2 linked regions of the Danio rerio genome follow. The protein of the gene in region 1 interacts with the protein of each later gene in a pairwise test. Links are inferred from orthologs where the notes say so. Each region holds a gene or a part of one and is shown in the gene's direction. Other genes may lie near its edges.

What was found. The genes of interacting proteins can lie anywhere in the genome.
Region 2: the proteins of agtrap (region 1) and acsf2 interact in binary tests that used the Homo sapiens proteins (3 or more experiments, as listed by UniProt). The two-hybrid records come from large-scale screens. The link is inferred for Danio rerio from reciprocal best matches to the Homo sapiens genes AGTRAP and ACSF2.

What each region holds. Positions count from the first base shown.
Region 1 is NC_133186.1:18,186,123-18,191,827, forward strand, and holds the end of agtrap (type-1 angiotensin II receptor-associated protein), read left to right. Parts: intron 1-1,274; coding exon of another isoform or gene 1,275-1,348; exon of another isoform or gene 1,349-1,948; intron 1,949-4,968; coding exon 4,969-5,093; 3' UTR 5,094-5,117; downstream 5,118-5,705. UniProt on the Homo sapiens protein: Appears to be a negative regulator of type-1 angiotensin II receptor-mediated signaling by regulating receptor internalization as well as mechanism of receptor desensitization such as phosphorylation.
Region 2 is NC_133187.1:28,297,237-28,305,446, reverse strand, and holds part of acsf2 (medium-chain acyl-CoA ligase ACSF2, mitochondrial precursor), read left to right. Parts: intron 1-2,811; coding exon 2,812-2,919; intron 2,920-2,998; coding exon 2,999-3,150; intron 3,151-3,238; coding exon 3,239-3,380; exon of another isoform or gene 3,381-4,566; intron 4,567-4,605; coding exon 4,606-4,716; exon of another isoform or gene 4,717-5,198; intron 5,199-5,415; exon of another isoform or gene 5,416-5,487; intron 5,488-7,256; coding exon 7,257-7,325; intron 7,326-7,708; coding exon 7,709-7,759; 3' UTR 7,760-8,210. UniProt on the Homo sapiens protein: Acyl-CoA synthases catalyze the initial reaction in fatty acid metabolism, by forming a thioester with CoA. Has some preference toward medium-chain substrates. Plays a role in adipocyte differentiation.

The sequences.
Region 1 (5,705 bases):
TCCCATCCAGGTACTGAGCAGGCTTAGCCCTGTTTAACTTCAGTGAGTAACTGATCTTGCTGCAGAGTGATATGGCTGTGGCTTTAAAAGCAGTTTACAACACTATTAGCCCCCTTAAGAAATATATATATATATATATATTTATTTAAATAATTTTTTTTTATAATTTTGACTTCATCTCTTCACATGCTATGTTTAGTTCTCACACACACTTATGTGGACCACGCATAGAATGGCTGAACATGTAATGTAATGTAATGTGTATTTATATAGCGCATTTATTGTGTATGGCCATACACCCAAAGCGCTTCTCAATCATGAGGGGGGGTATCTCCACACCACCACCAGTGTGCAGCATCCACTTGGATGATGCGACGGTAGCCAGAGGACATCGGCGCCAGTGCGCTCACCACACACCAGCTATTGGTGGAGTGGAGAGACAGTGATAGAGCCAATTCGGTGGGAGGGGATGATTTGGAGGCCATGATCGTGAGGGCCGATAGAGGGACTTTGGAAGTGCCATGCGATTTTTATTGACCACAGAGAGTCAGGACCTCGGTTTAACATCTCATCCAAAAGATGGCGCCCACTGACAGTGTAGTGTTCCCCTCACTTTTACTGGGACATTAGGACTCACACAGACCACAGGTTGAGCGCCCCCTTCTGGCCTCACTAACACCACTTCAAACAGCAACCTAGTGTTCCCTAGTGGTCTCCCATCCAGGTACTGACCAGGCTCAGCCCTGCTTAGATTCAGTGAGTAAAAGGTCTTGGGCTTCAGGGTGACATGGCTGTGGCATGTCATACATTACATTGGCTTTTTTCATACATTTCTGCTTTTTTGCTGCAAAGAAAATATGAAAATCCTTTACATCTCTCCAATAAATTACATAATCAACTAGTTTAAACTCAAAATCATTTTTATATTCATATTTTTTTAGATTAATTCAGTAAACAAAAGCAGAATAATGTCAGGGTTAATTTTAGGTATGATGTTAAGGTTGCCAACTGGTGATTGTTGTATGGTGGATGTATTTTTTTCTTTTTCTTTATTTTTCTTTATTCTGAACTTTTATTGTAATTTCAATTATTAACTTTTTAATTATTACTTTTTATTATTTTATACACTGATCATGTTAGTTTTGGGTTCTGATGTGGTTTTCGTGTGTCCATTATTCATCTTTCTTTTTAATTCTTCATGTTCTGTATGTGACTTCTTTTCTTCATTCACTGCCCTGCTTGCTGTCTCGCTGTATTCTGTATTTGTCTCTCAGACTTGGAAACATCCATGGATAGTCGCTGCACCACAGACAGTGCGGACAGCACATTGCTTGGCCGTCGCTACTGAACCTTCCCTTCTTTCCCTCCTGCAGTCCTCTTCAGCTTCCTCTAATAACTGGACATTTTCATCTGTGAACTGTTGTGGTTAATTTCATTTTTTTCTTATTCCTATTCACATTTTGTGTTTTTGTATTTATGCATCCCATCACCATGCTTATTGTAAATAATTGTGCATTTGAGTGTTTCCTGTAAGTCTTCTTTTGTTCTTTTCTGTTTTTATATATCTATGACATTCTTTTATTCTCTTTGAATGTGTGTGTGTGTGTGCGTGCGTGCGTGTGTGTGTAAAGAAAATCATCAGTTGTGAAGTTTATTTGATCAAGAAGTGTCTGCGTAAAGATACAATACAATGCACTCAGCATTACAGTCTTTTTATGGCAGTACTTTATTCATTAAGGCATTACAGGAGGTTCCAATCATCAATGTTAGAAATTATTTACGAAATTCTTCAACAACAGATTGTAACTTGGATTCAAGTAGTATTTGGTTGGTCATTGTTCTAAACGTGTTCATACGTACCTATTTGTTTTTTTTTATGTTTAAGTATTTTTAATATCTAGAAGATAAAGTATAAACTAAAAAATAAAGATAAAGCTGAAAAACTTAATTTAAACTTTAAAGGGCACATATTTTACCCCTTTTTCAATATTTAAGATGTGTTCATTTACTGTGTCTGGAAAGTTTCAGCTCAAAACAACCATCAGATTATTTATAATACCTTTCAGAATATTGTAATTTCCATCTATTTTTATGCATATTTTAGACATTCGCCCAGAAAATGGTTGATGGAAACGGCAAGAAAAAAATGTGCATAAACCACGATGGAAACACTTTTACCAAACAAATTATTTTTATGTACATTAAAAAAGGTCATGTGACTTTGTTATAGGAGATCATGTGATAGTAAAAATGTGTGTGAAAGGATAAACCAGCAGGCTGAGCACACTGTAAAGCATTGAAAATATTGATTTGGTCAATCTAAAATGCCATAACAGTAATTTCAGTATTAGTGTTATTTTATTAATTACCTCCAGGACTGTCAAGAGAGTCTGTGCTCCGCGTCTCAGGCCTATAAATGCCACCACAAGTTCATTGCATGTCAGCATTTGTCTTCTGCGGTGCAAGTCACTTGTGATGTGATGATATTGCTCTCTTTGACTCATTGGATGGAAACACTTCTTTATTCACACGTCTTTTGTGTGATATTTCAGTTTTGTGCATGAAGTTAATTCACATTTTTGGCTGGAAACATAGCTAATGTAGCTGTTTTTGTTGCCTGTGCCTTTAATGCTAGTTCTCCCTGCCCACTGTTCCCACGTGGCTGTCAGTGTGCCTCAGGCTCCAGCTGCATCAGATAAACAGCACAGTGACAGACACGAAGGAAGCAGATCTCTTAAACGTTTGTGAGAAATACTACAATAACAACTTTCCCAAATATTATTTGATGTATTTGTTGTGGAGTTAATTCAAGCCTATGGAACGTCATTGTGTGAGACTCATCATTGCATAAAGTTTACGCTAGAGAACCCGCCCCGTTTTCTACCCGCCGCGCCCGTTTCCACTAACGAGTGGGGGGAGAACAAAACCGAAAACCACCCAGCTATACAGAGTCCAGACAGCCTATAACAAACTGTCTGTATAAACACACACACACACACACACACACACACACACACACACACACACACACACATAAGCACCAAGCAAGTGACACACACACACATAGGCATCACACTCTTTCTCTCTCTCTCACTCACACACACAGACAGCACAAAGCTTTCTCTCTCATTCGTACACGCACACACGCACAGACACACACACAGAGTGATGCTGTGTTTAGCTTGTTTGCTGCTGTCTCATTCACACACATACATACGCGTGCTCGCTCGCTCGGAAGTCGGGAGCGATATTGTTGGACAGTTACTCCCGTCCAAAATTAAACCAGTTACCGACCGCTCCCGCGCTTTATTCGGAAATGTATTACCGCACCGCAGAAATCTGGTCGGGTTGAATGCAGACCTCTAGTTCACGCACACAAACACACACACACACGCAGTTGTGACAGGATACACGTTAATATCCTCTGCTGTGTGGATATCTGTTATGTTAATGTACATATTAAACTTGATTTAATGTCCATAACCGGGATTCTTCTTTTATAATTGTACTGATATGTGGCTGTGGTGATAAAGTAAAGACGGTAAAATCTCTGTAATAAAGTTTTAAAAAGGTTTTAAATTTGTAAAACTCATTCTTGATCATATTTGATGATGATTGATGTTCACAGCGATACCAGTTTCTTTGTGTATGTCCTGTCTTGTTGATATGATTATAGGCGTTACTACAGAGACATGTTAATACGCGACGTCAATCATTTTGGTGGGTACGGGAACCACACTCCTACGTCACGTTGTGGTGGGCCGCAAAATGGGGAAAATTTGGATCCTATTTTACTGTCAGGAAATTAAAAAAAAGAGACTTAGTGTATTTTTATCACTTCAATATGACTGTGGACAAATTATACCTAAACTCAGTTATGTTCAAACTGCTTAAAAACGATGTTTAGGTGCCCTTTAAATTAGCAGTTTTCCATATTTTGTGTATTTTATTTTATTTTCTGTTTATTTATGTTTTTGAAATGCATTATGGTACATTTTCTGTGACTTTTTTCTTTACTCTTTACATATAATTTCTTATACATTATATTATTTCAAACTACTAAAGTGTGAATAAATTTTCAACATCAAAAGTCGACAGAGCAAAGATCAAGATCCCATAATGCAATTCCTACTCGTAAATAAATGGATAAATGCTTGTGAATCACGAAATACGGAAACTGTTATTTAACATGTTTTACAGCAGTTAAATTAGCTATAATATTATGTTAAAAAGGAATTTATAATAATAACTTTTGTATTGCTATAATAATAATAACTGTTTTATGAAGGTCTCGAAGGTCCCCCCTCATGATTATCTCGAAAATATCCACACTGTAACACAACAGTTCATTTTCTAGCTGTATAACGTCTGACTGAATGGGCACAGAAGTGCTGATTTATTGCATTTAAATTAGTTGTCAATATTTGCCTGTGTTTTTATTGCACATTATAAGGGAATCGTGTAATAATTTTTTATTTAGACTGGACTTCTCAGGTTGTGCTTAAATAAATAGAAGCAAAATCAAATTGATCCGTTTTACTTGGCTTGATTTCTTTTTTCTTTCCTTTTGTATTACTAGTTTTTTTTTTTACAAAGTAGTTTTGCATGTTAAAGAAATAAGGTCTAAAATGTCATTTAGAACATTAGACTATAAATGTGCAGTAAAAAGTGTCCGTTTACTCATTTACTAATGAAGTTTCTTCAGTTAATGGATCATGATCATTCTGGATGAATGAGAAAAGATTAGGCTAGGTTCTGAATATTGCTCTTGCTGATATCAAGAAATCATATGGTGAGTTAACAATGTCAATATGTATTTTTATTTTTTTTAAGTGTGTGTTTCTTGAAAACAGTAAGCATGGAAGTCCCCCCCAGTAAACCTAATCATTAAAGAATTGTACATGAGATTGAGTTGGACTTTCCATTCATTAATTCTGGATTTATTTTTCTTATTTTTTTAAATTTCAGGTTTCCCATCAATATCTCGAAACAGAGATGCCTACCAGTCTATTGACCACAACGATCAATCTGGAAGCTCTGCCAACCCCTTTGGCCAAGCGGAAGATGGCAAATCTGGCACTCGTTCCTACTAAACATTTATTAAAAAATATATATAGCAAAATGTTTTGCAACCCAGGCTAAATGTGAATTTTTGCTTGGTTCATGATTTGTGTATGTTTTTGTTTAATTTGTATGCCTATTTATTATTATTATCATTATTATTATAAATAATAGTATTAAATATAATGTTGAAGCATGAAGGAAAACAACTTTACATTTGGAGATGCCTCGTTACTGAAGAAAACTCAGAGATAAATGAAAACCCACCTTCAACACCTTTTTTTTAACCTTAGGACTGCTTTGTACAAGTGCAAGCTGTTTGATTTTTTAAAGGTGTTATTTGTGAAGCTCAAAATTTGCTGCTTCACAGTAAGGTTCCTTGATGCTATAATTTTGGTGTGCACAACATTATTATTATTTTTTACTTTTACTTTTCTTCATTTACTATTTTGTAGCATAAAATTGGTCCATTTTGTGAAAGGTTTAAACTTTTTTTTCCAACCTGATCTCACAAGAAAACGCAAGTATTTTACGTTTTGTCAGTTTAGTGGCTAATTCGTACAAATTTGTACAAGTTCAGTCATACAAAAATGAATGATTTTAAAAAGTAGGCATGGCACCTAACCCCACCCCTAACCCCAACC
Region 2 (8,210 bases), on another chromosome or scaffold:
ATCTAGTGTTTGCTTAACAAATTTAACATTTTATCGGGAAACTCCACTTTCACACCTTACACTTTACAAATGCAACTCAAAGAAGCTAGTGTAGCTAGTTTGGCTAATGGTTGCATTGACTAGTTATTGTTATGTGGGTAACACTTTGCAATTAGGTATCATTAGTTAATGTTAGTTAATGGATTTAGTATTATGAACAAACAATAAACATTACATTTATTCTAGTATTTGTTCATGGTAGTTAACTAATGGTACATTAACAAATGCTAACGAGCGTACATTTTGATGTTAATAATATATAAATGTTACTCAATACTGTACAAGTATTGTTTATAATTAGTTCATGTTAGTAAATACCTAACCTTGAATGAACAGCAGAATGAACCGCCAACTATTCCGACATGTTTTTTACAGCGGATACCCTTACAGCTGCAACCTAGTACTGGGAAACACCCATACACTCTCATTCACATACGCACTCATACACTATGGCCAATTTAGTTCATCCAGTTGACTTTTACCACATGCCTTTGGACTGTTGGGGAAACCTTATTGTAGAGAGTGACCAATATCTGTTATAAAATAACCAATAATAACAAATGACATGTAAATAATTATGATTAGGAAATTGCATATCAGGAAATGACCAAGAATAGTAAATGCCAGTAAACAGTAAAACTACTTGCTCTACAAACAACTGTATTGCAATACATAAAAATATAATAAGAAAATACACATTTAAAACATCATTAAGGCAGCATAATAAGCTGTTTTCTTATAGTTAAAAACAAATTGAACTGAATGAAGTGAACTGGAAATCTCAAGAAAATTTTGTTCTGCTGAAGAGCGAATAAACTTTTATAATAGGAGTAATGTTGAAGATGTCTGAATAATTTTTAAATGTAACATTTATATGTAGAAATATCAAGTGAGTAATGATGCAGTAGGGTTTGTCACTGAAATACCAATAACGCAGCACTGGAAAAGGCCATTAATGATGATGTGTGCATTTAAATATACAGTATATATACTTATTGAGTCCAGAAGCTTGTGACTCACTTAAAATATTCCACACAAACATCATGAATGTCTGGCACATCAGTGAGTCTCTCAGCAGCCGGCAGCTTGTGTTATTGAGTTTTGTAAACACAAATTGAAATGATGAGGTTATGTCTCTCAGTAACAGTGTGAGGAGTTGTTTCCAGGGCACATTATCTCGAAAGCCTGAGTGTTTGGGAGATTTGTTTTAGACTGTAAAGTGAAAAGGCTGCTGTGCCAGTTTGTCAGATGGGCACCACATACCTCACCTGCCTCTCAGCCCTGTCCCATTCAGATCATTCATTTAGCCTTCTGCTTGCCTTTTGGCAAATTTGAGGAATAGAATATCAGATTTAGGTCTTTACCACAATATGCTGTGCAGAAATAGTAATGCAAGCACACAGGCTGAAGTTTACTAGTGTTTCATAGCATAAATGTCAGGAGGTTATTGTCACAAACCCTTACATATACAGTACACAGTCTCACATTTCAGTACTATGTATTACTATTATTAACATTAAATGATAAAAGAAGGTATGAGAAGTATGTGCATATACATACATACATGCATACATACATACATACATACATTTGTCTATTTTATGACCTATTTTATCAATTTAACAAGATCCCAAATCTATTATAAATTAATAATTGCTTATATAACACTAGATTTTGTAAAACACATTATAATTGCATACATGTGCGCACACACCCCTATATAATTTATTTTATATGTAATTGTCAATTCAGGACCATTTATATATATATATATATATATATATATATATATATATATATATATATATATATATATATATATATATATATATATATATATATATAATTTTCTTTTATTAATTTAATAGCTTTTCTAAACTTTAACATTTTATTACATACACATTATATAGTAATGTAATGTTTTATAATAATATTTTCTAATTTTTTTAATTCAAGAAAAATCTGAAATTTTGAAATCATTGTTATTGTTAATCATTATTTATTATTAATAATGATATTATATACTGCATAATATACATACATACAGTGCTCAGCATATATAAGTACACACCTCACAAATCTCTTTAAAATTCATATTTTTAATAGGAAGTTATGCAATATTATATTTGTGCATTCACATTAGTTTACTCAGTACTGAAGCCAAATCTGGAACTTATCTAACAAAATAATTTACGATAACGGTCCAAAAACTAGTACACCCAAATTTATATTATAGAAAAATATTAAATACAAATTAAAAAAAGGAAAAATCTAGAGAAGAGAAAAATGTAAAGATTTAGTTGAAAATGTGTAGGTTGTGATTTTTTTTTTTTTTTTTTTTTTTTTTTTGCAATTTTAGCTTGAATTTATTTGTATTATCTTTCAGTTTCTAAATATGTTTGGTGACGACTAAAATATTATTTTAATAGATATATCTGTTTAATAAATCTGTTTTGTTTAAATGCACCAAAATACATTGCTATATTCACTGAGAAAAATGAATACAAATATTCATTTACAGAATGGGGTGTACTCAATTATGATGAGCACTGTATACTGTTTACAATTGTAATTGTTTGTACAATATCATTTAATATTATATATAATAAAATTTTATGCTATATTAAGGCTCTTCGATTAGTTTTTTTTTAAATCGCTGTGCAGCTTCCTGAAATTTCTGCTTGAATATTGTCACTTGAATATGTTCATTATTAAAAAATTATATTTTTATGTGCTTTACTCTCACTGTGTCATCCTTGTGCTTTTGAACAGATTGGCTATGGCACAACTGAAAACAGCCCTGTGACATTCTGTGGCTTTCCTGTGGACAGTGCAGAGAGAAAGATAGAGACTGTTGGATGTATTTCCCCACACACCGAGGTGCACTTTCAAACACCACTTTATTAAGGTGCTCTTTAGGCATCAGTTCTAGCACACTGAATTATTGTTTCTCCATTAGGCTAAAGTCGTGGACCCTACAACAGGAGAGATCGTGCCTCTGGGGGCTCAGGGGGAGCTGATGATCAGAGGGTATTGTGTGATGCTGGAGTACTGGCAGGATGAGGAGAAGACCCGTGAGTGCATCACGAAAGACCGCTGGTACAAAACTGGGTAAGTGTGCTTGATACTCCTCATTACATTGTTATAAATTATATCCCAGCTGTCTTGACTGAGTGTCTCTGCTGTGTGGTTCATACAGTGATATTGCCAGTTTGGACCAGTTTGCATACTGCAAAATAGAGGGGCGCATCAAAGATTTGATCATCCGAGGAGGAGAAAACATCTATCCTGCTGAAATTGAGCAGTTTCTGCACACACATCCCAAAATTCTAGAAGCACAGGTCAGCAGCGTCTATAAAAAAATGTTTATATTTACCTTTAGCACTTCATAATTCTCAGAAACAAATTATTAGCTTCAATAATGTTAGCTGGAGAAAGTCAATATAGGCTACTGATATACTAGCAAAGACTAACAACTAACTAACTAAAACATGCTAGCAAAGAGTGTAAATATGGTATAATGCTAGTGTAATTATAATTAATGCTTGCATGGTGTTAAAACTTGGTACTAAAGTGTTAGAACCATCATAGCAACTTGCAAAATCTGCCTAATAATCGGTGCTGACAAAATGTAATTTGTGGTAAACTATGCTAACAATATGCCAACTCATTCTATTAACATGTCAAATGTGTTAAAAATAGCATGCTAATTCAAGTTAGCAACCTGGCGACCTGCTAGTAAAATACTAACCATTCTAACAACATGTCAATTGATGGTGTCAATGTGTCTTGTAGTAAATTCATTTTAGCCACAGGATATAGGATAATAAAACATGCTAGCAAAAATTTAAGTCTTATCTGTTTGGAAGCAACTTGTTATGTCATGCTAGCAATTAACTCACTGAACAGTTCAAGCGTATTGCCCATGTGTTAAAAATACTATCAACAAATGTTTAACAGGGTAGAAAAGTGAAAGAAATGGCTATTAATTGCTGAAAAAGCCTGTGTATGTTGGTAAGTTATGTTTTAATCCTGGTTTATACTGGTTCCTGCTGCTTCCCTACAGCACATGACCAGGAATGAATGAATAAAGAACCAGAAAGAACCATAAACCAGCATCCAAACAAACCTTGCCAGTGCATTCTGTTTTTTCATCAAGGATTAGAAACATGCAAGCAATGGCTAATGTTAGAAACAAATAAAATAGACATGCTAGTAAGATGCTAATTAATTCTGTCAACAAATTAAAACTTTAGCCTTGTGTTAAAACATGTTAGAAATGTGTTTAATCATGCTAACAACATGCCAATTCTTTCTAGCAGTGCTAACTGCATGGTTGCAACCTATAAAATCATGTAATACACGTGTTGAAATATTCTAGAAATATTTCAAAATCTGCTATGTTACAGTTGAATGAATTATGTCATGATATCAACATGTAAACATGGTTTAACTTTTAGTCCAGGCTTTTTTAACTGTGCTATCTGGTTTTCATTAACTGTTAGCCACCATTTTATAGTTAGCAAGGTTGTTTGAGCATTTTTAATGTCTGTTTTTTTCACACAGGTGGTTGGTGTGAAGGATGAGAGGATGGGAGAGGAAGTATGTGCTTGTATTCGACTTAAGGAGGGTCAGGAATGCACTGTAGAAGAGATTAAGGCTTACTGCAAAGGAAAGGTCAGGAAATTTGGATTCTCAAGCTTGTGTGTGTCTCCCTGCACATGTACACACTTGTTCACCATTAAAATGTTTATATACAATTTATTAGATTGTGAATATTCACTGGAGTAAATTTAATATGTAATTTAAACATAGAAATACACAAACAATTATTATTAAACAAATATAAAGAATATCTGAAATCATGTTACTTGAGTCATTTAGGAAATCTAATTCTTATATAAAAATAAATACATTTCCTTTAATTACATTTCTTCCATTATACTCAATAATCCATTTTTAAAATAAACAAAGTTACTTTCAGAGTTAAGCACTTCAATATACTTTTTTCCTTTATTTTTATGCTAAGAACAGATGTCATTGTTTATACAGAGATAGATGTTTTTTAAAATAAACCCACTTCTTAAAACATTGCCAAATAAATTGACTGTAATGATAATAAAAAGTGAAGACACACATGAAAATAATAGAAATAAACAGCAAAATTGTATAAAATAAGATAGTAATAAATAAATAGACAACCATACTTGCCCAAACTTGGTCCTGGAGGGCCAGTGTCCAGTAGAGTTTAGCTCCAACTTGCCTCAACACACCTGCCAGGACACTTCTAGCGAGCCTACTAAGAGCTTGATTAGCTAGCCCAGGTGGGTCTGATTGTGGTTGGATCTAAACTATGCAGGACACCATACCCTCCAGGAGCAAGTTTGGGCACCCCTGGTCTGGACAGACAAAGAAAAGAAAAGGAAATTACAGTTACATACAAGATAAGTCACATTGTTCCCCAGGAAGTACATTTATAGCGGAGCACTGCCAAACGTTTGCTCTTCAGATCTTCAATCCAGTGTGATGCTTTAGATGGATTTAAAGACTCCCAATGCAATAGAATTAGTCTGTGAGCGAGTAAAGATACAAAGTCAGACTCAATTCACCACGTAGAATGCCAAACAATGCAAATTCCGCACATGACTTAAGCTGCACTTAAGACTATATATCGAATATGGTTGACGAGTATGGCAAGTCTTTTGACATTTAATCTATAACCCATACTAGTATTTATTTATATGTTAATAGTGCATAGTTTTCAGATTCTAGTATCTTTCCATTAAGTACTATTACTTATTTGTGCATATTCATTTGATTCTAGTGCCTATTATTTAGATACTAGTGCTTTTTAAAAATATACTAGTTCTTACTCATTAGACACTAGTTCTTTTTATTAGATACGAGTGCTCATTCATTAGATACTAGTACCTATTAAATAGATAATAGTACTTATGTATTAGATATTAGTACTTGTTTTAGTAGTGACTAGTAACTATTATGTTGTTACTAGTAATACATTTAAAGAAATTCTATTTATTTCTATCGGATCTGTCATTGAAATATCAACTAATCAGTTTTAAAATATACAAAAGTATTTTACTATTACTATTTATAACTATTTTAATAGTTATAAAAGATACTAGTGTCTAGTAAATAAATACTAGTACTGATGAACAGTTACTAGTATCTAATGAATTGGTATCCATTAAATAAATACCGGTATCTATTAATTACTTTCTGATTAACGACTAGTATGTAAAAATATGTCCAGCTGGAATACATACTAGTCAAAACTGAATAGATGATATCTCAATGAAAGATCCCATAGAAATCATTGGGAAAAAAATTAATGTGTTACTATTAACAAAAGAATAGTTACTAGTCACTATTAAAATAGATGCTACTATGCAATGAATAAGTACTAGTAACTAATGAATGAGCACTAGTATCTAATAAAAAGCACTAGTGTCTAATGAGTAAGCACTAGTATATTTTGTAAAAGCACTAGAATCTAAATAATAAGCACTAGTATCTAATGAATAGGCACTAGTATCTAATACATATTGAAGTATCTAAGTACTAGTACTTAATGGATAAAGTAATAGTATCTAAAAAATAAGCTCTAGAAACATGAAAACAAACACCAGTATGGGTTATAGATTAAATGTCAACACAGCTTGCCATAGGCGCATAAGGAGTAAGCTTAGGGCACATTCAAAACATGTGAGATAAGTCTGCTTCACCTGTGTGACAATTTATACAGATCTTGTCAAAAGTAGAGTTAAAAGATGCTCTCCGTGATCTCTGTATAGTTTTTTGCATGAATAAATGTATTTTGTTTATTTGTATCTATAATATATTAATCAATTCAATTACACTCCATTTTTAAAAACAAACATTTAACAAATTGGTGAAGTTTGTTTCTCGCCACTGTCGCCTCTGGCTTGCTTGGTTTAGGACTTGTGGAGCTGTGCATTGATGGATTTGCTCTTCAGTGTTTGGACTTTCAGCAGTGAAATTTAAACCACACTGAACTCAACTAGACGGAGAGTTTCAATTTACTAGAGCTTCTATGTTAAGCTGCTTTGACACAACCTACACTGTAAACGCGCTATTGAAATAAAGATGAATTGAAAATGCAAACAATAATAATTATGAATATGATTTAACAACAATACTACACAACTGTTCAAATTCTGCTGTTATTTTTGCAGATTGCCCATTACAAGGTGCCGCGCTATATATTGTTTGTTCAGGATTATCCTCTGACAATTACAGGCAAGGTAAGTGATACGCTATTATATTAAAGATTCATATTATTGCTTACAAATGAACATTTCAGAAAATTCCTTTAGTTTAGAGAAAGTCAATTCACCATCGCCTTTACAGAATCAACCTCTTTTTAGTCACCACTCCTTTCTGTATCTCTGTAGATACATCATGTTAAAAATAAAGTGTAGGAACTGTTTTGTTGGGCTGCTTCACATTTGTCTCTAGACAGAAGAAATTGAAGCAATTTCCCTGTCTGAATCAAACCCAGAGAAGTGGTTTCAGGCATTCGAGGGCTACTGTGACACCTTTTGCTTTTAAAGGCTTGTGGTTTGCTGTCGACAGATTGAACCCTTTAATAGCACTACAGCTGTTCTTTTCTTCATCTCTCTCTCAGATCCAGAAGCACAAACTGCGCGAGCGGACCGAAAAACAGCTCGGACTGTGATGATGGCATCTGTGGGATTTTTTTAAACCGTTACAAGCAGGAAATTATGCTAAGGACTTTACTAGGTCACTTTTGTGATTTCCACATTTATAATTAGACCCATCATGTTTTATATGTGCACGATATTACACTAAGTTACCACAATTTTAGAAAAACCAGTGGCATTTCACTATCTTAATGGAACAATTCACCCCAAAGACTTGCTGTTAATTTACTTAAACTCAGGCCTTCCAAGATTGAAGTCAACTTGTTTCTTCAGTATCAGCTCACATGTGGGATTGTATCCGCAAATTCTCAGAAGCCACAGATATTGGTTTTGTTTAGTCTGTATATGGCTTTTATCAGTGTTTGGTATCTGTTTATGATGGAAAAACAGCTACCGAGTAAATTAACAGCAACTTTTACCTCTCTCTCTTTACAAATCATGTACTTTTAATTGTTTTTATTTTGT